Linked DNA regions of Astyanax mexicanus. The protein of the gene in region 2 interacts with the protein of the main gene of each other region in a biochemical or structural test. Links are inferred from orthologs where the notes say so. Each region holds a gene or a part of one and is shown on either strand. Other genes may lie near its edges.

The links.
Region 1: the proteins of snta1 (region 2) and microtubule-associated protein 4 interact in a test that uses a peptide from one of them, tested with the Homo sapiens proteins (2 studies listed by BioGRID and IntAct). The link is inferred for Astyanax mexicanus from reciprocal best matches to the Homo sapiens genes SNTA1 and MAP4.
Region 3: the proteins of snta1 (region 2) and cysltr2b interact in a test that uses a peptide from one of them, tested with the Homo sapiens proteins (2 studies listed by IntAct, with this or other methods). The link is inferred for Astyanax mexicanus from reciprocal best matches to the Homo sapiens genes SNTA1 and CYSLTR2.
Region 4: the proteins of snta1 (region 2) and mcm7 interact in a test that uses a peptide from one of them, tested with the Homo sapiens proteins (2 studies listed by BioGRID and IntAct). The link is inferred for Astyanax mexicanus from reciprocal best matches to the Homo sapiens genes SNTA1 and MCM7.

What each region holds. Positions count from the first base shown.
Region 1 is NC_064413.1:25,210,739-25,218,735, reverse strand, and holds the start of microtubule-associated protein 4, read left to right. Parts: upstream 1-4,982; 5' UTR 4,983-5,098; intron 5,099-5,397; exon of another isoform or gene 5,398-5,581; intron 5,582-7,997. UniProt on the Homo sapiens protein: Non-neuronal microtubule-associated protein. Promotes microtubule assembly.
Region 2 is NC_064412.1:8,278,238-8,286,200, reverse strand, and holds the start of snta1 (alpha-1-syntrophin), read right to left. Parts: upstream 3,009-7,963; 5' UTR 2,938-3,008; coding exon 2,655-2,937; intron 1-2,654. UniProt on the Homo sapiens protein: Adapter protein that binds to and probably organizes the subcellular localization of a variety of membrane proteins. May link various receptors to the actin cytoskeleton and the extracellular matrix via the dystrophin glycoprotein complex.
Region 3 is NC_064425.1:22,199,469-22,207,191, forward strand, and holds the start of cysltr2b (cysteinyl leukotriene receptor 2), read right to left. Parts: upstream 3,009-7,723; 5' UTR 1,854-3,008; intron 636-1,853; 5' UTR 610-635; coding exon 1-609. Other genes in the region: rcbtb2 (RCC1 and BTB domain-containing protein 2), read left to right, coding at 6,752-6,877. UniProt on the Homo sapiens protein: Receptor for cysteinyl leukotrienes. The response is mediated via a G-protein that activates a phosphatidylinositol-calcium second messenger system.
Region 4 is NC_064426.1:61,513-69,150, reverse strand, and holds the start of mcm7 (DNA replication licensing factor MCM7), read right to left. Parts: upstream 3,005-7,638; 5' UTR 2,829-3,004; coding exon 2,798-2,828; intron 1,431-2,797; exon of another isoform or gene 1,327-1,430; intron 635-1,326; coding exon 555-634; intron 468-554; coding exon 303-467; intron 215-302; coding exon 90-214; intron 3-89; coding exon 1-2. Other genes in the region: cohesin subunit SA-3, read left to right, coding at 6,618-6,670, 7,328-7,424. UniProt on the Homo sapiens protein: Acts as a component of the MCM2-7 complex (MCM complex) which is the replicative helicase essential for 'once per cell cycle' DNA replication initiation and elongation in eukaryotic cells.

The DNA.
Region 1 (7,997 bases), on a different chromosome or scaffold from region 2:
GTGTAAAAGCGGCAAGAGTGCGCAGTTGTAGCAAAACGTGCACGCGCACGCTCTGAATAAGAAAGGAAAAACACAGAAAGATGCTCCAAGTTTAATTTAGACTTGAAGAAAGTAGATAAAATAATATAATAAAAGAGAACATACAATATAAAATATTTTATTATTAATATTATTAAATATAGATTTAAGACACAATACATCAGACCGTTAAAATCCTGAAAAAGAAAAAAAAGCTCTGTGTATATTTTCCAAAATAACCCTGTAAACATAGCATGTAATATGTAGAGAAGTATAGACATGCAATATAGAAATAATAATCAAACGTTGCTTTGAGTCTAAATCTTAGGGCAGTATCTGCTCATTCTCACACCATCTCAAAAAAACTGTCAGACTTACCAGACTGTTAAAATCCTGAAGATAAATATTATATTTTATAATATCCCTGTGATAATAGCATTCAATATAAAATAGGTCAAATTGCACTTTGAGTCTAATCACAAGGCATTATCTTATTAGCTTTAAGTAGTCTTAAAACAAACTGACTGTAAAGACATAAAGACAGGGTGGTTGTCTCCCCTGTAATACAAAGCTCTAAACAAAACAAACAAATTTCTCCTATCAAACATATTGCTTCAGCCTAAAGCACTCTCCAACACGAGGGGAAATCTCAAACAGAAGGAACAAAGAAGTACTAGTAAAACATCTAAAACTAAAGCACAATAGCAAAACATATCAGAGCACAAACCGCCTTACCTTCAACCTGCTGGCTTTAAACGATAGATTTCTACCCAGTTACTCTAGCCTGGACTCTAGTTGCTGATTGGTCGCTAATTGACGATGATTGCTACCAGATGGTGTTTGTGGGCTGCTTTACCTGGAGGAGAAAGAAAGAAACGCACAAAAACACAGTCCACTTAAAAATCGTTTTATAAAGCCTTGAAAAAACTACACGACTTTTTAAGTCTGAGCAAATAATAAACAGACTGGGAATCTCAAACCTGTGGGGAATGAAAAAAAAAACTTCTCACACTAAACAACTAGATAATTTTGTGAAAGTCGACTAGTATTATTCTGTCGTTTTCATAAACAGTCTCATTGATACCCAATACAAAAAATAGTGCAAAACCCAATACTTAAAGAAAAAAATTTGAATGTATTTTTTTTTTAGAAGTTCTGTAATTTGCATTACAAAACCTTTTTTTTAATGGGAGATTTTATGGTAATGTACAATATTACCCAGTAAGCTAGTGTGGATTAACCTCTTTACAGTGAATACAACTAGAAATATAATGTATATACTATCCTGAACATATGTGCAAATAAAAAATAAATTTATTATAAATGTATATGATATCAAAAACAAAGTATATCAAAAAAATAAACTCAGAAAATATTCAAAATGTACAGTCAGATTCACTATTGTGCAATCATCATCATTACATATACACTAACGGTTTGGGTATTGGCTTGGGTAGACTTTACAAGTGTTGCTTCCTATTACCACCACTGTAAATAAGCCATTATTAAATAATCTGTTTTCGAAAATGCATCATCATGGGTTTTTTTTGTTGAAAAGTTGGTGGAATTCCCCTTTAAGCATCGAAAGTAAGCAGGCTGCAGGGTGGGGTCAGCATCTACTATAAAGTGGCCACCAGATGACGATATTACCCCACTTTCCAAAGTAAAAAACCTGGTACTTTCCGGCTTCATGATTACTGACATCACATAATGTCATAAATGCATCAGTGAAAGCAGATTGTGGCATAATTATCCAGAGGTGCATAAAACTCAATAAAGTTAATTATTGCATTATCTGTACTGCTGTAGACTTCTAATACATTTTACTCTTTTGGTATAGTGTTATGTTTTTTGTTTTGTTTTTTGAGTCAAGGGTTTATAAAAATGCTCTGCTGCATATAAATGTAAAATGTACTGTTTGATTTTATTATTTTTATTTTATAGTAAAGATAAATTCTAAATATTGATTGTAAGGTTAGCCTAATCGACAGGGATCAATCCTTGTTGTGGACTGTATATTGCTTTCAGTGGAAAATTTCTATTCAGAATGCTGGGATGTACAAGACTAGGCTCAATCCCTCTCTAGTAAACAGCACCATAAGGTTTAAAGCAGAGAAAGTTCTTCAACACAATAAAATGTTCCTCACAAAAATAGTTTTTCTATGACATTACTTAAATAACTCTTTGAAGTAGACGTATTTTAAGGGAGTATAAGTACAAAAGCAGTGGGTCATTACATGATCACATCAGATGAGGTCTTTTCTACTGTGGGGTACCCAGAGAGGGGGACCTGTTAAGGCACATTTTTGGGCACATCATTTTTTTGCAATAGGGGCACCCTAGCGGACATAGCCATTTTCCCCATTTGAAGGACATTCTATAGGGCAGTTTGTGTAATTCGTGCCACTCTGCCTGACACAAAGGCCCAATCCCCTTTCTCTGTTGTAACCCTTCCCCTTTGAACAGAGTTATAAGCGGAAGGGGTGAAATCCTCTGCCTAAGAATTGGGACAACCCTTCAAGGTTTTGACACTTGACTGCTTCATTACCAGAGGAGGCTTGTAGGTGACCTTGCCAGCCTGATGTAATAGCTAGCTGCTAGTTAATTAGTAAACTTTAGGGCATTGTATGTCTCTAGAATGGGGGGCAGGTGGTGCAGCAATTAATTATTATTGTCCATTCTTCAATTCCACTGTGATGGGGAGCAGACATTAGCTTTAATGTTTCTGTTATAACTTAAATGCTGTATTCTTTTGCACCAATTAATGAGGAAATATTAGCTAGCTAGCTAGCTACTGAGAACTACTAACAATTTTGTATTGCTTGTTCTAAATGAAGTGGCCATAAAACATTAAAAATAAACATTAAATGGGGTAATATAGTGAATATTTTTAAGAAGGAAAATACTTAAGATTTTACCAACAGACTAAGGAACAGCTCCAAACCATCATTCTGTGAGGATGCTCAACTCTCTCCCTGCTTTAGCCCCATCCCTAATTTGCCCCCAGCACACATTCACTCAGCATACTGACCTTAAGCTTTTTTACCACTATATTGCACTAATGTTTATACAGGTTCTGTTTACAATGGTACTGTCATTCCCACTTAATCCCCCTATCACTATTGCACTATTGTCTTGTGTCTCTTGTCTCACGTATGTTGATATCTGTGACCTTGTTGTATTGTACATTTAATGTCTCTCATTCTTTTGTATGTATATTTTTATCTTGCTGTACTTGTAACTTTGGGAAGGAGAGTAATGTAATTCCAAGCCTATGTATGTTCTGTACATATACAGTATTGACAATAAAACTACTTGACTTGACTTGTATAGTTTTTTTTGGTCACTTGTGCTGCCATCTTGCCAGTGATTCTCGGTCCTCTATTTTGAGTGTCTAAAAAAAAATCTCTGTCTGAAGGACCAGAGGGGTAGGGCTGGGGGTGAAATGGGATTGGGCCAAAGACGACTTTTCACAGTGAACAAACAATTTTCGTTTGGAGTAAACCACGTATTCCAATAGATAAATTGTAGCCTTCTTTATGTAGTTTGTAATTATGTAAGCTAACAACACAGGCGATAATACCCTTCGGTGAGGTTCTTTATTAATGACTGTGTGTCTGCTCCAGTGAATTCTCACCCTGAAACTCCTCCACGACCCCGGAGGGTTCGTCTGGTAAACACAGACTGCATGGCTGTCCAGTTCAGTGAGAGCTCCTGACAATCAAGTTCAGAGGCTCATAATAAAAAAAACTGTACATTAAATGTTAAGTTCTTTAGGCTATTCACAGTATACTAGTTATATTTTCATAATGTGGTGTCAAATTCAACAGACTATTTGATAATCTGGAGTTCGGGCAACTGGAAATACCCAGAACAGGCAATGTATTCTCAGTGTAATATGCCCTAAATGCCAAACTCGTTTTGCTCGGCTCAACCCTGCTCTCTACTGGCGAATAATTGGTACTTCGACTTTTTAAGGTGGACCGGAAAATCCGAATAAGACACTGGCGAATAAGACGCCAACTTCAGCCTCGTTGACAATCACTGGGCTGGGGTTCAGTCGTCCCGTAAAAGGAGCTGAACTCCCTCATTGTACGCTGCGGTTGTCTGTCATGTGGGGCTCTCCGCGCTGCGGGACCGGGGAGCTGAAGCAGGCCTAGTTCAGCGCTCCTCTGTGCTGCAGAGAGCTCAGACCTGCCCGAAGCTCGCTGGAGGAGAATATCAGCTGTTTTGAGATACTAATGAGTGAGGTGGAAAATCTAGGTTTAGAAAGGCTTGGGATGGGATTAGTTTTTACTTTCTGGACCACCTCAAATTAATTAGCTATGATTTAGATAGTCTCACTAGGTTACATAAACAACGTAGTTACTTGTTAGAGCTGCGCTGTTAGCTTCTTCCACTGTTTTTTTATTGTCATGCCACAGATTTGTTTCGTTAGTTTACATGTAACGTAGTTAGCTAGGTTAGCTAACATACAACTTTGTACAGAAGGAAATGTTGGTGTTTAACTATCTATGGCATGAGTTATATCTTTCATGAGGATTTTTTTTTTAAATATACATTTGTATTTCAACTTTTTATAATAAACTGAATCAAACATATTGTTTGACATGCAGGAGAGTGTACCTGCTTAATGTTGCAACAACCCTGTACCATTGAGGGTTAATGAGACGCTGACATTTTTAAATAAACATGTTTAAAAAAGGTTAAAAAAAGAATGCTACATAAATAAAACAGTATTTTTCTAACCGGCATCTTTAGATAGTTCCCCTAGCAAGTTAACCTGACGCCCACAACCCTCTGAACACTTTGCAACCCTGAGTTTCTGTTGAACGCGACCCGAGCTCGCATAGGCGTTAACCTGCCGGCTGTCAAACTCGCTCCATTCTCCATTGCGATTGGAGCAACAGAGCTGTCAGTTGGATTTCGAGCGCGCTGATTGGATAAATCCTTTTGGGAGGGCGGGGCTAAGCGCTGGGTCGCTAAGGAGGCGCTGCTGTAGCGGAGAGGGCGGATCATCGCGGGGCTAACGACAGCACAGACACAGCCCGAGAAAGTGTCAAAAACAGTGAACTAAACGGTGAGTGCGACCAAATTACACTGTTTAGTGAACGAGCTTCACTGGGGGTTTGAGGCGAGCTGTTGTTTAATTTCTGAAGTTTGTTTTGGACGGGACGTAGAATTATAAGTAGTTAGCCAGTGAGTTAGCAGGCTAGTGTTAGCTAGCGGGCGAGTCAGCTAGCAGTAAGCTGGTGCAGGACTCAATGAGCGGAGAGTGACACGGCCCGAAAGATATGGCTGTCCGTGAAGTTATGCAAGACTTTGATTTTTCTGTGCAGAGCAGTTCCAGCAGGACAGTGACACGCAGACCACCCTCCCGTGTGTGATCTTATCTTCTCAGTAATCCTCAGCTGTAGTGGAAGTGGGCTGTCACACTCGCTCTGCTGCCTGCTGATGTTTTCAGCACCAAAAGTTTAGTAAAGTTAAGGCCAGCTAGGTTAGCCTGCAGCAGCACTCAGCACGGGGATTTGGAGAAGCACAGAGATCTAGCAGTTAGCTATAGGTGAGTCTCTGCACGCGCTCAGCTACAGAAGCACATTCCCGCCACTTAAAATATATAAAAAAATAAACTGTTAGGTGAATTGCTTAGTAACGATGACGTTATCTCATTATTTTGAGATACAAATGCATTATTTTGGGATACTTGATATTTTGAGGCACTAATACATTATTTTGCGGTAATAAGTAATTTTTCGAGACACTAAGATATTTTTGAGTTAATAAGTCAATACCTTGAGACACTAAATCATAATTTTGAGTTACTAAGTAATTATTTTGTAATAGTAAGTAATTATTTTGAGGTACTAAGTAATTTTGTGATACAAAGTTGTTATTTTAAGATAGTAGGTCATCATTTTTATGTACTAAGTCGTTATTTTGGGATGCTGTCTCATTGTTTTGAGATACCAAATCATTATTTTGAGATAGTAAGTCACAACTGATTTTGAGCTACTCATTTTAAGGTACTGAGTCATTATTTTGTGATAGTAAGTAATTATTTTGATATACTTAGGCGTTATTTATAGATGTTCGTTGCTTTTGGGATAAAAAAATCTGTTTAATTCTTTCTGCAGAGAAGCCTTTACGTAGCTTATGTACAAGCAACTATTACCTCTAAATAATGTCATAGTATCTAATAATAATATTTAATACTTTTTTTTAAGCCTGTTGTCGTGAGCAGGGATTCCTTCATTTTGCTGCTTATATTTCAGCCCATATTACTATAATTGTGCCTTAAGTTGCGCTAAAATACAGATGTTGGTGAATTGCGTCTTTCATCAGACATCAATCTCTTTGCTGGCCAGCAGGATTACAGATCAGTGCTGTCACGCTCCAGCCTCTGAGCCTGGTTGGATGGGAGTATTCAGAGAGAAATGTGCGTTCTTGAGCTTTAATATGTGAGGGTAGGTTGTTTGTAATATGTTGTGTCCAGGAATAGGTAAGACAAGATAATGAACGCTTTCTTTTAATTTGTGTATTAGGTTCAAATTCTTGTAATACCCAATGATACACAATATAGCAGCAAGCGAGCAGCAGCTCAGCAGCACAGTCATTGCAACATACAGGAATACAGCCAAAAATCTTGCCCAAAGTGCAGGGAGCAAATAAATTGAGCAATTTCATTAAGGTATGAAGTGAAAAGAATACTTATGGAGAAAATTATGAAGTTGGCTTAGGAAAACTGAGATATGATTCTCCTGTTTAGCTCAGAAACACCATTTGTATAACTAATTTATTTACAAATAGGCCAACAACTCAGACATACATTGCTAGTTTCAGAATTTAGCTAATATAGAGTTTTAGCTGATTTAGAGTTTGTTTTGCTGTGGAGTGAACTGCTGCTGGTTTGTGTAAAGTAAGGGTTTATTTAATTGATTGTTCAGTAAAAAGCAACATACTTTACTAAAGATTAGATTCTGTGTCTCTTTTTTTATACTGTGTGCAGGTCAGCATTTAGACTTTATGTTTATAGCTTTATAAGTAGTAACATAGAGAAGTAAGATCAACCCACACTTATCAATGACAGTGAAAAGTAAATCACAGTTAATGAAAATGATTGTGAAAGGAAGGAAACTGAAAGAAGTATGCATTTTTGTTTAAAAGATTAGCATGATTAACATTTAACAAAATATATAGTCTTGGTGTTTTTTCTGCAGTGAAACTGTACTTTTTGTTTATCCTAGCATTGAAAGCTTTTTTTTCCCTCAAGGACCCAACAGTAGCAGTTTAGCATATGCAGGTAACCCACAACCCTGTGATCACTAACCCAGCACACTAAGCACTGAGCTGTATTTGTAACTGGTTCTCAGTAATAACATTGTGTCTATGTTCATATCACACTAATAGAGACTGCAGCGATATGAGTATTTTGGAAAGACGCCCATTGTCACTGCTGTTATTGGTTTTAGATAAGATGGCTAAATAATTTCAGATAGTTACCTTGGGTAAGGTAAAGGTTTACAATAATTTGTATGTGTGTGAAAATAATCAGTGTTTAATCTTTAGTCACGTTTTTGCAGTTTAGGCAAAAACATGCACATAAAATATATGTGGTGTAGTTGTTAGTTTATTTGAATGACTTTGAGTGACTATTGCGAACCCCATAACTCTGAGACAAACAAAATTAAGGCGTGGCTACACAAACAAGTGTAATTTAAACATATTTTTTTTAACCAGAAAGATTTTAATAAATTGTTAATGACATCAGTATTAGTCACAAATATGTGTTGCATCCTTGAAATCCCATATAGGTCCATTTGTAGACAAAATATTACAATAATGACTTTTGTCCTTCTGTTTTAGTAAATGACAGTAAAGACAGATAGCTTTGTCACTGTATAACCTGGGGAATAACCAGGAAAAATCAATAAGGAAGACTAACAAGAGAAGGACACTTCAGATCAATGATTGAAGGGCAT
Region 2 (7,963 bases):
GTAGTTGGAGTACAGCTCCTATAACAGTGTAAATGAATGTATAAACTAGTTGCAACCAAAGTGAGTACATCCTTACATACAAACTCCCTTCCCAGTGTCATGTGACTCACTAGTGTTACAAGTTGTCAGGTGTGAATGGGGAGCAGGTGTGTTAAATTTGGTGTTCTCGCTCTCACACTCTCTCATACTGGTCACTGGAAGTTCAACATGGCACCTCATGGCAAAGAACTCTCTCTTTCTCAACTATGAGGAACTGAAAAAGAATTGGAGCTCTAAAATAAAGATGGCCTAGGTTATAATAAGAATGCGAAAAAGTTGAAATCAGGCTGCAGCATGGTTGCTAGGGCCATCCAGCGGTTTAACAGGACAGGTCGGCCAAAGACACACAAAAATATATACACAAATGTTTTCATAAAATTCTGTATTCTTACCAAACATCTACTGCTATTGACTCAGCGTTTGTCCTTGCTACTCGTTTTTAGGTAGTATCAACATGCATTCCAGGTGTCAGTGTAAATCTGTGAGCTATGGTCTAGAATCTGTGAGCTAAGCCCTACTGATCCACAAACATCTACTAGCAGAGTAACACTGGTAAAGCTCTACGGATGACCTTTCCATGTGAGAGCAATCCTTTTGCAAAGGGCAGTCAACTGCAAACATGAACTGCACACAGTTTTAACGTATTGTATTTGTCCTGTGGTTCATTTTGATGCATGGTTAAGTGTATATTGCTTTATTAATAACACATTAGACTAAGACCTATTAGATAAGGTTGTTCTAGTTAGTTGGAAGAAGACCTTACTAAGTTCTACTAAGTTTTTGTTCTCAGTTAAAGGAGGTAACAAGTCGTTAATTTTTAAACAAAGTCGTTTAGAATGGTTTGGTGTGAAATGCCAGTTGAGAAGCAACTTAAATGTTCATAGCTCTGGTGACAGAAACCAGACTTAATAATAGACTCTAATAAAAAAATTTCCCTTTCACAATGTTTTGCATTTAATGGTTGTGAATACAGTGCAACATGCCTGAGACACTGTTTAGCAACAGGTTTTAGATCAAATTTATGTTTGTCCTAAAACATATTTCAATTTTAACTTTTAGTCTGTGGAGAATTCATGGCAGGTATAATGAGGCCTAATAAAAAGCTTATAGTCTTCAGTTTGTAGTTTTTAGTTTTTTTACCCCCAATAGTTTCCAACTGGAATTCATTGATTTGTAGATTTTATAAAGCAGCTGGTGGTTTTGTTCGGTCAATAAAATTGGCTTTTTTTTTATTGGATTGATTATAATATCGCAACCCCTGGTCCCTGTCATTACCACCAAGTTTTATCTTAAAAGTTAGAAATTTCACTCTAGTCTACTTGATTTTGAATGATTTTGTCTAAGCTACAACTGTACATACCTTTTTAGAAAGAAGTAGAGTTAAAGGAGAACTATTGACTTTAAGTGTAGTAAAACATGATAAAAAGTACTTACATTTGATGAACAACACACCTCCGTTCTTCCGCAGCGTTCAGAGATCCAGAAATTGTAACCGTTTGTCCAAACTCCCTTCAGACAGGGTGACATTTGGCATAATTTTCCCCCTATAAATCGCTTTTTCCACCCCTCCTTGCTAGAATCCGGAAAACCCTGACATTTAAAATGAGGCATTAATAACTTAAAAAGTGCACAAGAAGCTTATTAAAAACCACCGTTTATATCCTATAACGCTTGCTTCAGCTTCGAATGCCGCCATCACATAGACATATATATATATACATAGATTCCGCACAGCCTGTCTGCCACGCTGCTACAATATGCGAAATCTAAGTATATATATGTCTATGTTATTTTCAGTTCAGTGATGGCGTGCTTGGAGCTGAAGCTAGCATTAAAGGATGTAAACAGTGTTTTTTAATAAGCTTCTTGTGAACTTTTTAAAGTTATTAATGCCTCGTTTTAAATGACAGGGCTCTCTGAATTCTAGCAAGGAGGCGTGGAACTACTTTGAGCTGGATAACGGTGGAAAAATCGATTTCTTATCGGGGAAATTTTTGCCCTGTGTCACCCAGTCTGAAGGGTGTTTGGACAAACTGTTAAAATGTCTGGATCTCATTCATCAAAGGTAAGTACTTTTTATCATGTTTTACTACACCAAAAGTCCATTTTACACCGGAGTTCTCCTTTAAGTATGGAAAACACGGTAAGTTGTTTTAAAAAAAAATCTAACATTTCTAAAAAATGTACAAGAAGTGTCTCTAGATTTCTTTCAAAAAGTGTGTGACTGTTAAGAATACATACTAAAAGCTGTCATTATAAACAACCATAAATCCTGGATTGGACTGATTTACCGACTTCATTTGCTGCTATAGCTTTTCTATGGGGAGCTACACATACTGGACAAAGTTATATCTATTAATATCTGTTTCAGTTGAAGCCTAAATCTGTTTTAAAATGTAAATATAGTCCTTCTGACCTTCCTTTCACACTTATTGCCCTTTAACAAGCTGCTACTTCTTTACTTTCGCAAACAAAAAACAGTGTTTCAATGTTTAAAATAGTTTCTTCATAGTTGCGCCACATTTTGGTTTGCTCAACTTCTTCACCGCATCGTTTAGTGATATTCTGAGACATTGGTAATAGTCTAGCTGAGTTTTTCTTTTGAGAGATCTTACCTTTAATGCTGATTCCGAGTCCCCCGACGTCCTGCTTGGTGACCCTCACTGTGCGCTTGACGCTGCTGATGTGTTCTGGGACAGAGGGGCAGCACAGGCTGCTCGGTTCCCCGTTCAGAGGCGCCGGGGCTGGGGCTTTGCTCTTAGCCGGCTCCTCGTTGGCCTCGGCGGGGCTCACGGTGAGCGCGTCCCCGGTCAGAGCCGCCAGGACGCGGCTCCAGCGCTCCACCGCCACGCGCAGCTCCAGCAGCCCGCTTTTGGGAGCCTTCAGCGCGGCCGCCATGTTCACCACGCATTCCTGGAATACCACAGCACGGGCTGGCAGTCCCGTAAAGAGATAGGGGTGGAGAGAGATGCCCAGAGATAGACTCCAACCCCCTCTCTCTCTCTCTCTCTCTCTCTCTCTCTCTCTCTCTCTCTCTCTCTCTCTCTCTCTCTCTCTATCTCTCCCTCTCTCTCTCTCTCTGGTTGATCTCCTAATTGAGATTTAACCAAGCCTGTTCTGTTAACCCCTTAGGCTAAACAATACATGCACTGTAAAAAAATCCAACTTAAAAAAGTTTTAATCAATATTTTAACCTCGTTGATTAAGCAAAAACACATTAAAAGGTAGGGCTGTGTTCCAATTGCATGCTAAACACTACTATAAGGTGCAGTATATAATATATACTAATCTTAATAGTGCGGTTTTGACTGGTTAGCACCCCAAATGTTAATGTATTACTTTAGTATTAGTATTAATTCTGCACTAGAGAGAAATCCCCAGAGATAGGTTAACCCCTTGGGCTGAACAATACATACACTGTAAGTAAGTAAGTTTTAATACATTTGTTTTACCATGTTCATTAAGCAAAAAATAAATAAAAACTAAAGGCTGTGTTCCAAATGCAAACTAAACAATACACACATTGTAAAAATCAAACTTGAAAAGTTTTAATCAACATTTTTACCACGTTGATTGAGCGAAAAGCCATAAAAAGTAAGGGCTGTGTTCCAATTGCATACTAAACACTACTATACACCACTATAAGGTACAGTATTTATCCTTTTTTGTTTTCTCTTGTTGATCTTCTAATTGACATTGACCAAGCCTGTTTTGTTAACCCTTTGGGATACACAACTTAAGAAAGTTTTAATCAATATTTTTACCATGTTGATTGAGCAAAAAGCCATAAAAAAGTCTGAGCAAAAATACAATAAATTACAAATTGAAAAACACTGTAGTGAAAAGTTGATAATGAAATAATGAGTAGCCCAGCTTCATTTGCCCATTTCATTTGCATTCTGAAATACATTGCTTTAACCGACTCACAAGTAATGCTTTTAAGAGAAAGTTGCTTTCTTCAAATATTAATAATTTAGTATTATATATTAGACCTGCATTGCACCTATTCTCTTGATTACATGGAGTAGCTGGAGTTGTAGTGCAATGTATAAACCACACTTTTACCCTTGACGCATTACTTATCTTTCGCATAAATGCGTCTGCAGTGGAAAAATCCTGTTTTTACACTGGAAGCGTAATGATAATGGTGGTCTGAGAGGTGCTTGGCCTAGGAAAAGGGGGCAGGTCAACCAAATAAGCAGGGGTTGATTGCAATTTGTCAACGTGGTGGAAAGTGTTTTGTTTCTATAGAACAAAAGGAAATGGAACTACAGTGTTCATGTATACTAAAGTAATTGATAGGTACCAATCATGCTTGGAGTGCATTTCCTTCATGGACAGTTCTATGCATGCATTTCTGGACAAGCTGAGAGATATGGTGGCATCTGAAATTATGTGAAGCATGTGGACTTAGGGGGTAGAGTAATATAACAGAAAATTATTACAGAATTTTACACAAATATGATTGCATGACGCAGTTCTGGAAGAACACTTTAGACTGAAGCAGTAGTGCTCCAGTCTAATGGGGCAATTCTGTTACAATCAGTGGGCCCATGAGCCCACCATAAAAGAACAAACAGTAGAGAAACACAGGATGGTAAATATGCTTGTAAAAACGTGTGTCACTCATTTACTAATTACACTGTTTGCACTGTTACCTTTGTTTAAGTTTACTTACCCAACATTAATGGTCCACTGTAATATGTTAAGGTGGTACAGAATGTGTCTATTCAATTAATTAATATTCAATTACTATTTTATGTTGCCTGGTTTAAACAACCCCTCTATGAACCGTACTAAAATTATTTAATTAAATAAGTAGGCTGTGTAAAACATTGTAACACTACAAATTGTAACACTATATTTAAACTCACCCTGTCCCGTGGAGACAGTACTGTAGCTTTGTTAGCTCTCACTGCTGTGAGAATAAAGAATCATTTCCAACTAATGCAGTATAAAAGGTATAAAAGGAGATTAAAACAATATCTGTGTAAATAATGAGCCCTCAGTACATGGGCCTTGATTACAACTCAGTAATCAAAAAAAGCTATTTTAAGGTACAAACAGTCCTCAGAGAGAATCTTAAAAAATAGCTGTCCAAATATGGTCAAACTCCACAGACAATGTTTGTATGGGAACAGGAGAAAACGAGCAAAAGCAGGTTCTACTTAAAATGTGTCTACAGAGGGAGTTTAAAAAGCAGGTAAACTTTAAACTGTTCAGAAGAGGATTTTAGTAGAAGGTATGTTGTGATTGGTTTTCTTTATTTTGAAGCTGTATCATATATATATATATATACCCTTGGATATATATCCATTTTCCCTTTCTGTTTAATGAGTCATAAAACACTGTCCCAATTGCATACTAAACACTACTATAAATTACAGTATATATTATGTACTTAATTTAATAGTGCATTTTTAGCAGGTTAGTACCACAAATATTAATGTGTATTAACAACCTGTCGTATTTGTTTATATATTCCCCTCCCTTTTTGCATTTATATACACTATATTGCAATAAAAAAAAAAAAAATTGCTCACCTGCACCTGTAGGCTTGGATGGAGCTGTTCGGACATGGAAACTCTCCATTACATGAGTCTCGCTACTGTTCTCTACTGTTGTTGATCTAATCTGAAGCTACATGAAGTTTGGAGGTGTGTAGTGATGTAGTGACTCTTCTGTAAATATTCTTTTCAATAACCATATGTACTTTTAAGTTTTAGGTTTTTGTGACTCAGAAAGGGTTAATGTTTTTAGAATGTTCTATCAAGTTTTCTTGATTTTTAATTAAAAAAAATTAAGCATTCTGGTAACATTGCTGCAATGTCACTGGTATCAATGTATTAATTTATAGTTTGTTTTTTTTTTTACATTTCTGTAATGTTAGTATTTGTCTATTTGAGAACACTATGGGATAAATGTTCTAATAATGATGCAAACTATTATTATGTCACATGTTTTCATAATGTTCCTGGAACCTTATTTCTGGAACTTTATAGTCTAACCTTCTTGGAACCTTACTAAATGTTCTTATGTTCACTGTTAGCTGGGTACTGTGTTTGGGAAGGCCTACACCTGTATAAGTTGTGAGGTACTATCTTGTAAAAGGGTGAGGCTGAACATTGGTCAAAGTGCTCAAGGCCAGACCTAGGGCAGCTCCAATCCAGATACTTTTAATCAGCAGAAAGCATGTTGTCTCTAGTAAAGTATAATCCAGAATTATACTAATTTAATCTATTTTAACTTTTTTCAGACTTTAAGTCACGTAAAATCTCTCTGACGTGTGGAGGCCGGTCGTTCGTAAAGAAAGACGCAGAGACAAGATAAGAACTCACTGTGTCCATCATCTGTAATCTGCTGGAGTCGTCAGACCGGAGCCCTCCATGGCCATCTAAGAAGGAAAACATGACGATATCTACTTTAAAGCCCATAGTCAGGAGACAGGAGAGGATCTGATTTATAACAAATAACAAATATAAAGAATTAGAAGTCATGCACTGTAAAATTGTCTACCTGTAATTTATTTTACTATATATTTTACAATTTACCATTATTATATTTACTTTTTATGTGTACAGTATTTTACACTGAAACAATGTTAAAGTTGTCTTTTTTCTGGCTTTTATTTCTAAAATTTCTGAAAGGCTCATGATCAGCTTTTCATTAGGACTGTAAATTATTCAGATTGTTTTATTCTGCGGTTAAACTTGATTCTCTTTTGGGATTGTAACAGTTGTATATTAGAAATGAGTGTTTTTAATGTTTTAATGTTGTTGCTGTGGTTAATAACCCAACAAATGTGTAATAATATAGTATAATAATGTAATTGAAATTGCTTTGTCTTTTTGGTCCTCCCCCACCACACATAGTTTACTTTTCCTTTTCAAAACCAGAAATCTGGCACCATGATCTTGGTAATAGATAGATTTTAATGTTTTATTATTATTATTTTGGTTTATTTGTTTGTTTCCTGGTCAGAGAGTTGTACAAAGTAGTTACACATAGTCTACAATATTTACTGTAGTTACAAAGTTTTCATTTACATTTATTAATCATTCTGATTGACCTTTTGGTCAAAATGTTCTTCTTATGATTCTGGCCACTTGTGGTGAAATCTCCTACACCCTCAGATGATCAGATCATTTGATTCGACCCCTTCAGGATAATGGCTTATGTAAGAATGTGATTTTCTTACTAGCTGATTTATTGAACCTAATCAAAATAAAATGTGACAATTTTGATAGCTTTGCAAGATTTGTACTTTTTTATTATAATATAAAGTTTACTCCTTAATAATAAAAAACATATTGCAATATATGAATATATGAATTATTGATTTTTTTTGTCTGCATTTTGTTCTATAATAATTATACATCTAATCCGATGCTAATTTTTAAATTGCCATAACAATTGTCTTAAGTTTTTTTGTGTTTTAAGAAGAGGAAGTTGGCGAATTATAAATATACATTATACAGTTTCTTTGCAGTTATAAACTGTACTTGACATTGGCAGTGATATATCTGCATAAGAATCATTTTATGTAAAATTACCGAAAATGAGACAGCTTTTCAAACAATACTTTTAGGTTAAAATAGTCAGCTAAAAGCTATTAAACACACATAATTTCCACTTTTATCCCACTTTAACAGTTTTTTTTCTTCTTCATAAAACGCAACACATTTTAATAAGCAGTGTACTCTTCATATTTTAACATGTTTTTTTTACACTGCTTATATTGAAAGGCATTACAATCCATGATTAACAGACTAACTCATAAAACCTTACTCTACTATTATATATTTACACTTACGCTGTTGTAGACACACAATAGTCATATAAATAAAAAATGAAATCAAGTCAAATTTATATAGCACTTTTTACAACTGATGACGTCAATAAGCAACTTGGGAAGAAATGGGAT
Region 3 (7,723 bases), on a different chromosome or scaffold from region 2:
AAAGGGCAAGACAAAGCCCATGCCCAAAGCGCCTTTGTTCAGAGTGATAATGGTTTTCACCAAAGAAGGGTCTAGCTCCAGACATTTGATATGGCCAGATGCATCCTGACTTGTCCCGGCATCTAAAAGAGGGATCGAGGCCAAAGACACAAACAGCCACACGAAGACGCATACCACCACAGCTCCTCGACTATTCTGTAGGTACATATAGGTGTATGGTTTAATAATTGCCACAAAGCGAACTATGCTGAGCACCATTAGAAAATAAACGCTCCCATACAGGTTGATGTAGAACACGAAACCCATGAAGCGACAAACAACATCTCCAAAGATCCAATGGGAGTTCATGAGATAGTAGACCGCTCGAAAGGGCAGTGAACACACCAACATCAGGTCAGAAATCAGGAGGTTTAGCATGAAGAGGTTAACCGGGCTGAAGGACTTCATCGTCCTCCTCACTCCGATGAAGAAACATAGTGAGACGAGGTTGGCAGTCAGTCCCAGGAGGAAGATAGATAGGTAGGCAGCTGGGTAGACACTGCGCTTGAAGGCACCGACTGAGCAGTTGCATTCAACAGTAACCGTGAAGTTCAGACACGGCTTAGTCATCGTAGATCTTTGGTCTGGTAAAAGTCCTGTAAAAATAAATCAGGTATATAAGATTATATTAGAAACAAGCTGAGACAAATATCTAAAACAAATGTCAGGTGACGATATACAGTAATAAAGATACTAGAAACTAAAAAGTGCATACACTAAAAGGAATGCATAATGGTTGTGCAGCTGAATGGGAGAACAAAGGATATACAAATGATAAACAGCCCTAAAGCAGTGCATGCAGTTAGTTTGCTGTGAGGAAAATTAAATTATAAGGCATGGGCTTGGACAAAAAGACCAAAAAGGGAGCGAATGGGAGGAATGAGGGATGATAAAATGACAAATATATATATATATATGGACCATACTAAGCACAATAAGATATTACACAAATAAAGTACAACACAACACACTACATAGATTTCTAATGCACATATAGGAGAAGGTGTCCTGTGGGTACACACTGATGCTGAGGGGTATGCAAAAGTTGTGATTTTGTTGTTGTCCTCAAAACACTAAAACAAAACCTTTGAATTAATGATTTCTTTTAATAGAGAAGAATCCAATGTAATAAAATAGAATAATATATATTAAAAATTAAACCTGTAAGTGTTAATGAACTTCAAACTAGAAGGTTAACAAAATGAAATACAGTAATATCTACTTGTAAATAATAATGTGGATATTTTATATTATATCAATGGATGGAGGGTTGAATATTTAATTTGTTTAGAAAAAGTGAGGCCAACAAGTTTCCAATTAAAAAAATGGATGTATACCCATTGTAATGGACTTGTTCTCTCATTGTCAAAGACCAATGAAATAAGGCACATAATACAAAGCACTTACAAATAATACAAAGCAAATATATAGAAATACACCCACCTGAGATATTGAACTTGAAACTAGAAGGATAACAAAAAGACATACAGCAATTTCTACTTGTAAATAATAATGTGAATATTTTATATTACATATCATACCATATATCATTGCTGTTTCTCCAAAACTGCAATTTCATCGGAAAAGAAAAATCCTTCTTAACATTTAATAAAAGTTAATGTAAAGGATTTAATTTTATTAAGTCAATTTGAAGCATTTCTATTTCAATTGGCACATTTTTTTCTGTGACAGTGACAATATTATACGTTATTATGGTATAATATTAGTCCTGTGGTATATTGTAATGTTCATGTAGAAATGTGAGATATTTACAAAATTAAAGTAAAAACAGCAACAATAGAATAAAAACTTACCTTCTAAGGTCTGCTAAAGACTGATGCTCACATTTAGATCTGTGAGGATCCGACTGACACTTTCACTGAAGAACAGTACTGGGAAAAGAACCACAAGCAGCTTCTTCTCTCTCAGTGTGGTTGGCTGAGGCTCTGTTGCAGCTCCACCCCATGAACTGCACTGCTCCGAAACCACTATCAATTTCTTACAGGATTACTGTCAATCTACAGACTGACTGATTGCACTTATTGATAAAAGAAATCTGTAATCATGTAAACATCAGTTTCATGTACATGTAGTGCATACTCATAGCTCTCTGGATAGTCCTGTCTGCAGAAATGATCACCATGCCTCAGAAAGAGTTAACAAAAAATCATACCTGATGCCAAGTTAAACCCTTTGCCTATAAAAGGTGCTTCAATCACACATGTTCCTGCTTGTTTAAGAATGCTGCTTATCTTTTTCACAGCTTAATGCTGTAAGACTGAAAGTGTATACATGAGCCCCCCACCCCACCATTTTCTTTTCCAGAAAACTTTCACAAGTGCTGATCTTGGTCCAAAACCTGTGACCATACATGAGAATGTTTTGACTTCCACTGAAATTCTACGGAGGTGGATGAAACGCAGACACACATAAATGTGTTGCAAAAGTATTCCCCAACAATAAACATGAATAATGTGTCCAGGATTTAAATAGTACTATTTTGAAATCTGTTTGCACCTTTAGCATTTTCTTAAATAAGCTATTTAAATAAGATATTAGCGAAACACTGCAACATTGATAACTGAACCATGAGAACGGAAACAATAAAGAAGTCCAAGGAAAAAAACACAGTAATAAATGATAAACTGCTTAAAATGCTTAATTTGAGAATAAACACTTTCAGCACCCCCCAAAAAAATCAAATATAATGAGCTCTGACATTTGGCATCCTGCCTTTTCTGGGACAAAAGACTTTCTATTCAAGAGAACCACAAAGGCATATTTGGATTTCATTAGAAAACCAAAGAAATGACCTAAATAAGATGTGGGAACATATTTTGTTGCAATTTAAGAACAAAATATTTAGAAAATGTCTGACTTTCAAGATATGTGAATTTAGTAAAGCCACAAAGGTTTGAATCATTTTAGTAAAAAAATAAATAAATAAAATCTTGGCCTCGCTTTCTTTGGGTAGGTGTTCCCTCCAATGACTGTAGAAAACATAGAAAGCACAATATCTCTAAAAAGTGAAACCAACACAGTGCCTCTGCTGGAAGGCTGCAGTATAAGGACAAAACAGCTAACATCTATTTCTTTTCCTCTAATAATCTGCATTGTTTAATTTTAACAGTTAGTTTGTCCTGCAATATGGAACTTGCGGGTGCGTCTGGATCCACCTCTGTCCTGCACATATCACTGAGCTGTTAGTGTCCCACCTTGTATTACTTCTAGGGGTGTCCGACCATTGTATGCAAAAGCACCTCAGATTATCACACCACCATGCAATGGTGCAGTGTGTCGCTCCAAAGCAGCGTTGAAGCACAAGGCCTCCATGCTCAAACCTGATCGTCATCAAATCCCACACAGAATTTGGATAAATTTGCAAAGATGATATGGTTCTGTAGGAGTTTAAGTACTTTGTTCATGACACCACTGCAAATAAGTAATGATGACTGGCTTAAAGAGTTTTTCAATTGTGAATTTGTAAAAGGCCCCTCTTTAAGTCTGTCTACTGTGTAAAATACAGAATTACAATTGAGTGCACTGTTGAGGCATCACTGCCTAGCAGTCAATAATCTCTCACCAGGAGGTACACTACCCAAATGTCTGAGAGTCTTTTTGCGAGCCAACAGAGAAAGGACTATTTTAGTTTCCTTCTGGCCAATTGAGTATGTGGTCAGACCACACCTATAGTCATTCACATACCATGCCAAACGTTTTAACTCGAATCATTGTGCTAATCATTGAGCTCAGGTTCCAGATACTTCCATGGCCACACCTGTACAGGTGTACAAAACCAAGCATCTAGGCATGCAGACTGCTTCAACAAACATTAGTGAAAGAATGGGTTGCTCTCAGGAGTCAGGGAATTTCCACGTGGTACCCTGATAGGATGCAGCACTTGACGTAACATATTCCACAGTCAACTGTCAGTGCTATTACAGATCTGGAAAAAAATAAGAGACCCCTTAAAGATGAGTTTCTTTGATTTTACCAAATTGAAAACCTCTGGAATATAATCAAGAGGAAGATGAATGATCACAAGCCATCAAACCAAGCTGAACTGCTTGGATTTTTTGCACCAGGCGTGGCATAAATTATCCAAAAGTAGTGTGTAAGACTGGTGGAGGAGAACATGCCAAGATGCATGAAAACAGGGTTATTCCACCAAATATTGATTTCTGAAATCTTAAAACTTGAATATGAACTGAACTGAAGCTGTATAACCTAGTGGAAGAGATTTTAATCTGGGTGGGGTTCTCCGCATCCCTATGATGAGTATGGACAAGTATAATAAAGTGTTCATTAAATGTATATATTTAAACACAGTATATGGAGACTTTAATTTTTTTTCATTTACAGGTTTTCTTGACATCAATTGAGAAACAAAAGTAGTACCCTCGACCATCCGAGTAGGGTGTTTATGGAAGGAAAAACATGAAGTGTTAAAGTGACACCAAACTAATTATTTACAATTGGCACAGAGACCTGTTAAGAAGACAAGGCTACTGCTTTAGTGATGTGAATGGGGCTCCTCTGATAGAAGCACAGTTCTCAGTGAGTCCTAAGCTGGTTTTACTCTTTAGTTGAACTTTAGCTAGCTAACTAGCTAACGAACATCTCCAGAAGCGAGCAGAGCGTCTCCTGCATGATGTCAGCTGTGTGAAAAACATGCCTCTCCTCTCATCATCCGCTGTGAAATGAAGGACTGATTCAGCGGGCAGGAGAATGACAGCAGCCGGCTAGCTGCTGAAAACTCCCTGGAATTATCGGACCACTTTCCTTTGAACGAGCCTGGATTTGTGAATGGAAACGAACCTGAACAAATACATTAAAGCACCCTGTGGCTGAAAGCGCCGGCGTTCATTTTATAACACGAGGTATGTTGACGTTAACTTTTTTAATTATGTGTTGGCTGGTTAGCAACGCTAGCTAGCTTGTTGAGTTTCTGTCGAGCCTCCTGTGTAGCTTCAAAACAAGCCGGCTATAGCCAGCTAGCGAAGTTAGCAGTATGTTAGCTAGGTTAGCTAGCTAGCTAACTTATCCAAGTACTTGAGCTTTAGATATATCTGTGTTTTTAACAGATTGGGCTGATATGTGTACAATAACTAGCAATATAGTTAGCTAACAGTTATATATCGTGATAATAATAGCTCGTATTAATATTAGGTGCTTTAACTATACGGCATTTCTCAATTTAGCAAGCTAAGCTAGCTTCCCATCTATCTAGCTAGCTAGCTAGCTTGGCTGTTTATAGAGCCTCAGTAAAATCTGCAGGTAAATCGTTACTACAGCGATACAGTACCGCCAGCTTTGATTTTAAACTGCGTTTCTGCCCATATTATCCCTGTTTTGTGTAACTACATGGTGTAACGTTAGCCAATCATATACGTAACTATGTCTACCTAACTTATATAACAGATAGCTAGTTAGCTTTATTAGTTAGTTAGTTAGCTAGTTTTGGGATGTACGAAAAATAATAGCTTAGTTTTTGTAGCCCACTTTATTCTCGTCAGTCAGCTGTTAGTCACATTCAAAGTTGGCTTAATATAAATAATAGTTTGACAGCCTGGGGACAAATAATAGACTAAAATCACACCAACCCATATTAAAACAATTCGGTATCCTACCCATAAATGTTCCCTTTAACTCGTTTTGTTGCTTAAATGCACGTTATCAAATGGATTTTCGTACCCTTTAATACTGTGAACGTGGCCAATGCTGCAGTACACTTGGGTACTGCAGCACAGGGGTACAGTCATTTTACCAAAAGCAGAGGCCAGCACATTTTGCTGATTCCCCTACTGTAACAAACTTCATAATCCTGCACAAACTTCAGAAACCTGACAGTTAGCTAACAGGTGAGCAGAAAGATATGTGTTTTGAGCAGGAAAGTCACAGAGCTGTGCAGGTATTTGCACCTCCTGGTGCACAATATTACCCCTAAAAAATCAAGGAAAAATATTTAGCTAATTACTGTTCTATTGCTTTATTCTCATTTTGGTGGTTAAACAAGACTAAAACAGTTAACTGTAAGTGTAAGAGAGCAAAAAACACTTTCTTGTTTTGTTTTATTTTATTTATTTATTTATTTTTCATTTTATTTCTTTTATTTATTTATTTTTTCTTAAATTTTCTCCTCAACACGGCCAATTACCCAACCCACTCATTAGGACATTAGGACTCCCCCTATCACTAGTAATGCCCCAACACCAGGAGGGTGAAAACTAGCACTGATGCAGCATTGCCCAGTAGCATCACTCGGTTTCGATACATCAGCTCACAGATGCATTGTGCTTATCAACTTCTCTGTAAGAGTGATGTGGGGAGAGAACGCCATCTACCCACTCAGAGAGAGCAAGGCCAATTGTGCTCTATAGAGCAATTGTGCTCTATAGATGGCGAGCTACATGAACAGGATTCGAACCAGCAATCTCTTGATCATAGTGGCAGCTCGCTGGAGCATTCAGAGCCCACTTTCTTCTTTTGTTATTGGTTAACCTGCCCCAAAGCCTTTTGCTTGAGTTATGTAATATTTTGTGGCTTGTGTATAAAGTTGCAGTTCGAAAAGTCTCAAGCAGTTAAGTCAAGTGTTCAAACGGCTTGAACGTCCAAAACTGTTTTAGACCAGGGTCCAATGGCCGTACATCCTGTTCTCCTTGCTTGAGGAAAAAATGTTTGTGTCTGTTTATCCTGTTTGTTGCAGAGTAGCATGCTAGACGTGGGAAAGTGGCCAGTGTTTGCACTTCTGCCTCCTGAGGAACTGCGACTCATCCGCCAGGCCTGCGTGTTTGGCAGTGCTGCTAATGAGGCGCTTTACGTTACTGTCAATGATGAGGTATGTTTTGCTTATTAAAGGACAGTGCTTGTGTGTGATAGCCCTTCAAATATAGGTAATCCAATAAATTGAATGAAGTAATGTCCGTAATTGTTTGCAAAGACTGTTTCAGATTGAAATACTATGGGTCCGATATCAGGGTTTGAGAAGAGGGAAAGTTGCCACACACACACACACACACACACACACACAGAGAGAGAGAGAGAGAGAGAGAGAGAGAGAGGAGTGTACTAAGCAGATAGAGCTTCGCTATATATAGGCCTGTAATACACCACAAGCCTTGTTTGTACCCTGAGTAGTGTGTGTGTCACTGGAGTCAAGTTTTTTCCACTAGACTACTATAAAGTGTAATTTGTGGTTTGGAACACCCAAATTTAACATATTTAACCATATAAACATTTTGATTATTTGAACAATATTGAGAGAGTGAGTTAATATAGCTAAACTAAATAATGTATCCAATATAAATAGAAATGCAAAGTTAGTACATGTGTATTTGTCTGCACTAAAGTCTTAAAATACCTAAAATTAGAGTTAGGTGCAGCACATCAGACACAGATGATTAGAACTCAAAGGTTGTATATGCCTTTTGAATTAGAGAATTTCATTCTAAGACAAATATTAGAACAATTAAAAATAATTACAATAATTTTAAAGAGAAATGCCTGGCATTACTTAGTTTTATTTGTGGAGATATATTGCCTCCATACCAGTGTTGTCCCCCTTTCCCCTCTTCTTTCTTTCTTAATGGGCTTGTTTCCATTCATGTCTTCTAAACCTTAAGTACAGGCAGTGGAGCAAAGCTTCAGATGATGCCAACCTATTTTTATGTTGGGTTTCTGTTTC
Region 4 (7,638 bases), on a different chromosome or scaffold from region 2:
CACTGAGAGAGAGAGAGAGAGAGAGAGAGAGTCATTTGTGTTCTTTTTTTATTTTTATGCCCTTAAGCATTAATATGCTGTTCACTCACAATCTTCTCATGAGCTCAGCAGGGTACTGGTTCCTGGGGTCCCTCATGTCGGCGGGGTCACGACCCCTGGTCTCCATCATCAGCCGGTGCTCGATGTAAACGTCCAGCGCATCTTTGGCCACTACCTGCAACACACCAGTTTTCAGTAGCTGCTCAAACACCTCTGAGTGGAATGCTGTGTGTGTGTGTGTGTGTGTGTGTGTGTGTGTGTACCTCTCGCTCCCGGTACTCTGGGAGAAGCTCATGGACTGCATCTGCAAACAGCACTGTGTACCGTTTTGTGTTCTCACACACACTTTCCACCAGCTCGGGATCTTCCTCTGCTACGTCATCCAGGTCCACCACCAAGCCCACCTGCTCCCTGTGTGCCAGGGCCACCTACACACACACACACACTTAGTTGGAGAAGAAAAAGGTGACAGTGCTCAGTGTCGGTAAGACAGAGGGTGTGTGGGTATTACTCACCAGTTGAGCTCCATATTTAAACACCTTCTTTCCAGAATCATCTTCAGAGTAGAACTCCTGCAGGAAGCGCTTGCACTTCTCTACACACACACACACACACACACACATTAAAAAAACTATTAGAACGCCAATTCTAAAGACCTGCCCAATGTAATTCAGATCGGATTGTACCCATTACTGACCCTTACTTATGTTTAGCCCCCCCCCCGCCCCCCCCCCCCCCCCACACACACACACACACGTACCAGATTAAACCACATAAGTGTGTCCAAAATGTCTCACACTTAGTGAAGGGGAGCAGGTGCTACACGACAAAGGAGAAGCTCCCATTGATAAACAGTGATCACGTGGTTTGCACCCTCCCCCACGCGGAGGAGGACCACAACTGCTTATTAGAAGCTTTAGTGCGTCACAATAACCGTGTACAGGTACATCACACGCGCGCGCAGTAACCTTAATAAATAACCAATAACCTTAAAAATCGGTGAACTATCAGAAACTGTCAGCTCCACCTTAAATTAGTGCAGCACTTTCACGCTGGATCCTATGGCGCACTGCTGCTCTAACTGCTGGACTAATTTAAGGTGGAACGTAGAGTTCGAGTTTTCAGCATTTTTTATATTTATATACCCTGTGTGTCAACCCTCTTTATTAAAGCTCGGAACTCCATCTTTAACCCCCACCCCTGCTCCTTTCCGAACAGCTTTTCTTATACATTAGGATTCCCAGCCGCCCTCCTTTTTCCGAGCCCAGCCCCGCTCCGAATACGAACCGCGGTGTGTCGGCGACTGGATCCTGCGGTCTTCTCCGCGCGCCGGGCTGCCCAGGAACCCCGCTGTAAGCGCGCAGAGAGCGGGGTAGAGACAGACGGAGCTCCGCGCTCGCTGCTGTTTTTGTAAACAAAGAAGCACATGGCTCCCGGCCTTCTCACATACTGTGCCCCTCCGCGCTGCTCCAAATAGTGCCCGGATAAACACAGAAGCAACCCTCCCCCAGCACACGCATTCAGACAGGAACAGTAGGACTTAATCTACACTTCAGGACACGCCAGTCTGTTTACTTGTTTACATTTCAATTATAAAACTAACGATGAGGTTCAAAATATAGTAAGCAAAATAACGCGCAGATATTTTATTCCAATATAATATAGAGATCCCTTAACACTACTCCGCATTTACATTAACGATTAATATGTTTACTACTTGCGCGTATATTCTGTGTGTGTCTGTGTGTGTAAACAAACTGCGTGCGTGTTTCGCAGACTCTCACTGCACGTGCTCCTCCGCGCGCCACAGCTCTTTGTTTTACGGGTGCATCCGGGTAACCAGCGCAGATCGAGTCATCCCAGAGTCGACTCCTGCCAGTTCACTCGAAGCAGCTGACCGTACTATAAAAACTCAAAAGAGGAATCCGCTGCTCCTCGGTTTAAAGATCTCACCCTCAGTTCGCAGCTGTGTGATATTAACGACCTTAAATTGTGTGTATAAATTCTATGTTTGGATTTAATTCGGTATTTACTGTTGATCTGAGACGTAAACATTGCGTAGTTGCGTCAAGTTCATTCATATGCTCGGCTCAGACGAACCGACTCATTGACTTATCCGTGCATCCGGGTACTGCTGCTCGTCCACAGCTCTGTAAACTTTACTGGAAAAACTTTAGTCTTTGGTCTAAAACACGGTTTGATCTAAATTAACAGAACTAACTTTACAGCTGCTGCTTATAGAAGTGTGATGAACAGCGGAGCAGGAGCTGTGTGGTTAATAGCGCAGTTAAAGCGCGGCGGGAAGTTAGCCTGCGAACAATGAACACTGCTAACCACAGCTAAGCTAACTAGCTGACAACCACTATTTATTAATCATAGTGAGTCACTAAGGAGAAATAAGTGGAATCGCTCTGATCAACACACACACACACACACACACACCATCCCGAAACTCCCGCTACTAATAAGCTACAAGTCGCTCCACCTTAAGTAATTCAAGTAGTACAAGTAGTTCCACCTTAAAAGCTGCATGACTTACACAGCTAGCAGCGACAGAAAGCTACAGAATTAGAGCACCGTTTAAGGTGGAACGGTCCGTTAGACTAAAACGCTATAAAATGTTTCCACCGGATAAAAGCGTCTTACTCGAAATTAAAAACATTATGTTGTATTAACACAGAATAATTGTCAGTACATGATTAAAAATCTGATCGCCATTTTTCTTTCTCAGATCCTCAGAGTTCCTGCAGTTTCTTACCTTTCTCGGCTAAATAATCCTTCGGTGCCATTTCCAATCGGTCTTTTTGATGTTCAGCCTCCTAAATCGATCCTAAATCGATTTATTCCTTGGAGAATATTGATTATAGGAGTTATTATCTAGAAACGCGAGTGTTAAAGTTTCGTCACTGTGTCTCCGCGCACGCTCCACTCCACACAGCACGGTCTGCGAAAACTGGCGGGAGTCTAACTGCGCTGCGGACCAATCACAACAAGAGTTCTGAAGGTATCATCCAATGAGAGCAAAAGGATACGTACACACTCCACCAATCAGCGATAGATTCTTAGAAAAGACGGGCGGGGATTATGTGTGGCGCGAAAACTGAGAGATACGTAACACACCGCGTGACCTTGTCGACCAACCACGTTCTGAACTGTAATGGCGCCAAAAATGTCAGGGTGAATCTCAATTGGCTCTTTGCTTCCTACGTATGTTTTTTTTTAACTAGTGCACTAAATGCAGTTCCATTTTTGATTGTAGAAGTCGTGCACTATGTAGGGAGCGAGGAGTATTTTTTTATCAACAATCATATCTCTTAAATATGGAAGCCCATTCCCGCCACCTAAAAAATAAAAATAATCCAGCAAAAAAAACTATTATTATTAAGTAAACTGCTATCTCAATATTTTGAGACACTATCTCTATATATTGAGATACTAAATCAATATTTTAAGATACTAAGTCAATATTTTAAGATACTAAGTCAATATTTTGAGATACTAAGTCAATATTTTAAGATACTAAGTCAATATTTTTGAGATACTATCTATAGCTTCTTATTCGCCAGTGTCTACTTCAGATTTCCGTTCCATCTTAAATGCTGGCTGAACATACATACGGCCGCCTGTAGATGGCGCATTTTAACAGTAAATAACAGCATGTAAGCAAAGCGCTATGCAAACGCTCTGAATAAAGGAGAGAACACAATGCGAGGGACAGAGATTAACTCTGAGTGAAATATAATGTAAATAAAATTAGATGATATGAATTAAAATGTTATTGCTTTCACTTTTGGCCTAATTCCCAGGTCATTATCTCTTCAGTCTTAAGTCGTCTAGAAAACTATCATACCTATTACACAATACATAAGACTGTCAAAATCCTGAAGAAGGTCAAATATTACTGATTTTTTTCACAATGATCCTGTGAGCACAGCCTGTAATATAATATAAATTAATTAATATTAAAAATAATGGTAAAATAACACTTTTCGCCTAATTCCAAGACCATTATCTCTTCAGTCTTAAGTCGTCTCACAAAAATGACTGACACACCTAATACCCAGTACCTCACACTAATAAACAGTACCTCACACTGACAGTCTGACGTATTGAGTATTAGGTGCGTCAGTCATTTTTGTGAGACGACTTAAGTCTGAAGAGATAAAGGTCTTGGAATTAGGTGTAAAGTGCTATTTCACCATTCATTATATTATATTACATGCTATGTTCACAGGGTCATTATGTAAAAAATCCACAGTAATATTTTTTCTTCTTCAGGATTTTTTATAGTATCTCAAAATATTGACTTAGTATCTCAAAATATTAATATGGTATCTCAAAATATTTAAATAGTATCTCAAAATATTGAGAAATATGTGAACTAATTCTGTTTAAATTGTGCTTAAAACACACCATTTTCCAACACAATAAATCCAGGAATGCTTTATTTTAGAAAGCAATTAATCACACTCATAAAACTAACATACATTTCCAATAACTTAGTCTAGTTTATTTTTCTCATCACATTAATTTGTGTTTATGTTAAATATTTATATAACCATTTATATTAATATTTATTAAACCATACACTACCTCCTGATTATTTTACAGCATCGTAAAAACACTGTTGCGTATTTAAATTTTAATCCTTAGTTCCTATCTTATTCTCTTTCTTTCACACTGTACATCTTACCATTTATATATATTCATTTATTGTATTTGCATTAATGTTTAAATTGTATAATTCTTATGTTGTAGATATTTTTTTTGTTTAGTTTTTATGAATATGGTCAAACAGACATTAAAGCGCTTCCCTACTCTCATGAGTCACTGCTTCTAAACGTGATTTTTAGCAAATATGTTATTTAGTCAGTATTTTAACAATGATATATGATATAACCCATTTACTATAATGAAGAAGATGAGGATTACTGCTGAACATCCAATTAAAAACAGCGGGCTCGTAGCTTTTTCTCTGGTTGTGTTGCTGGGTAGAAACCACAAAACAATCCATCAGCGTTTACTGGACGCTGTTATTGACCAATTGTTTTCTAGCGTTTGCTGCGCCGTTTTGTCCAATCAGAACTCGCTTAAAAGCGCGCCTAAATTTAGCCGTTCGGAACCAAGAGATCTCTTTCAAACTGAGCTAGAACCAGAACCGGGGAAAAGTTCTGCTGCAAAGGAGAACCGGGTTCCTCAGCGCTCCTGAAACTGTAGAACCGCTCATCTCACAATTTCTGAGGTAAATTCCCCGCTCAGAGCCACTAAACTCGACCGTGCTAATGCTAATCTGCTAATTAGCTGCTGCTAGAGTCCTTTTCTAGTTCTAAAACTTTAACTAGCGTTTTACAATAGTACAGCTTATTCCTACAGTATTTTACAATAGTACAGCTTATTCCTACAGTATTTTACAATAGTACAGCTTATTCCTACAGTATTTTACAATAGTACAGCTTATTCCTACAGTATTTTACAATAGTACAGCTTATTCCTACAGTATTTTACAATAGTACAGCTTATTCCTACAGTATTTTACAATAGTACAGCTTATTCCTACAGAATTGTACAATATTACAGCTTATTCCTACAGAATTGTACAATAGTACAGCTTATTCCTACAGAATTGTACAATAGTACAGCTTATTCCTACAGAATTGTACAATAGTACAGCTTATTCCTACAGAATTGTACAATAGTACAGCTTATTCCTACAGTATTTTACAATAGTACAGCTTATTTCTACAGTATTTTACAATAGTACAGCTTATTCCTACAGAATTGTACAATAGTACAGCTTATTTCTACAGTATTTTACAATAGTACAGCTTATTCCTACAGTATTTTACAATAGTACAGCTTATTTCTACAGAATTGTACAACAGTACAGCTTATTCCTACAGAATTGTACAATAGTACAGCTTATTTCTACAGTATTTTACAATAGTACAGCTTATTCCTACAGAATTGTACAATAGTACAGCTTATTTCTACAGTATTTTACAATAGTACAGCTTATTCCTACAGTATTTTACAATAGTACAGCTTATTCCTACAGAATTGTACAATAGTACAGCTTATTTCTACAGTATTTTACAATAGTACAGCTTATTTCTACAGTATTTTACAATAGTACAGCTTATTTCTACAGTATTTTACAATAGTACAGCTTATTCCTACAGTATTTTACAGTAGTACAGCTTATTCCTACAGAATTGTACAATAGTACAGCTTATTCCTACAGAATTGTACAATAGTACAGCTTATTCCTACAGTATTTTACAATAGTACAGCTTATTCCTACAGAATTGTACAATAGTACAGCTTATTTCTACAGTATTTTACAATAGTACAGCTTATTCCTACAGTATTTTACAATAGTACAGCTTATTTCTACAGTATTTTACAATAGTACAGCTTATTCCTACAGAATTGTACAATAGTACAGCTAGTGATTTAATGTGTTTTACCTTTTTTCAGTAGAATTAAACAATTTTAAAAGTCCTTTGATATGAGAGGTAAAGCTGTTACCCTCTCTGTTTTCCAGCAGGTTTTTGTGAATAAAGGGAAGAGCATGAAGTATGAAGAGTCTGACCGGGACAGGTAAACTGGTGTTTAAAGCCTCTGGGAACATGTACGCATATATTTTGATATTATGATATCAAATGTGGGTGATATGTGAGGTATGAAGAAAAAATTTAATAGAAAACTTGAATTATAATTTTAGTAAATCTTTAAATTTACCAACCTGTACTCATCACACCTCCCTGATGTTTTGTTTTATTATTTGTTGGGATGTTTATGAACATGTACATCTCTCTTTGACAGGACAACTCACAGCCAACACACACAACATTGGGGCACTGATCCACTTTTTAAACGCCATATTCTACATCAAGAGAAGAACAACACTGGTGAAATACACCATGTTTACTTAGCTTTATGTCACTGAGGTGCTGCATTAATCTTAATAGAAATACATCTCAGATCTGGAATTTAACTCTTTCCTCAAGTCTTTAGTGTCATGTTAATCCTGTTAAATATAAATTGTTCCTATTCCATTTAGTATGAAAGAACAATACCCACACCAGTAACATTAAAACAATTCTTAACTGATATTTCTAAAAAAAATCTATGGTTACTAATTAATCAAGAGGATGACACTTAATTTTAGACTTGAAATAATTTACTGATCAGCTTAGATTTGATCATGATACTGAAATGTCCCTGCAAGTAAACGTAATTTGTGTTTGTTTGTGTGTGTGTGTGTGTGTGTGTGTGTGTGACACAGTAGTAGTCCTGAGGATCTGGACGATGTCTCAGATGCAGACTTCAAGCTCCAGCTAAGAATCTCAAAGAGAAAACTGGACATGGCAGTGGAAACAGCAGTATTTTCATTTGCTTTCTCATCCATACTTTCACTCACTTACACTCACTCACATTCGCCTCAAATTAAACTCATTTGATTACACACACTCGCTCACTCTTGCTTTCTTGTTTTCACTCACGAAAGTATGGAGTACTGAGAGAGTTTTCCACTACGTTTTCGATTTTTTACGCCAAAAAAAATTATGTCAGTCGGTCTTAACACTCACACGAACA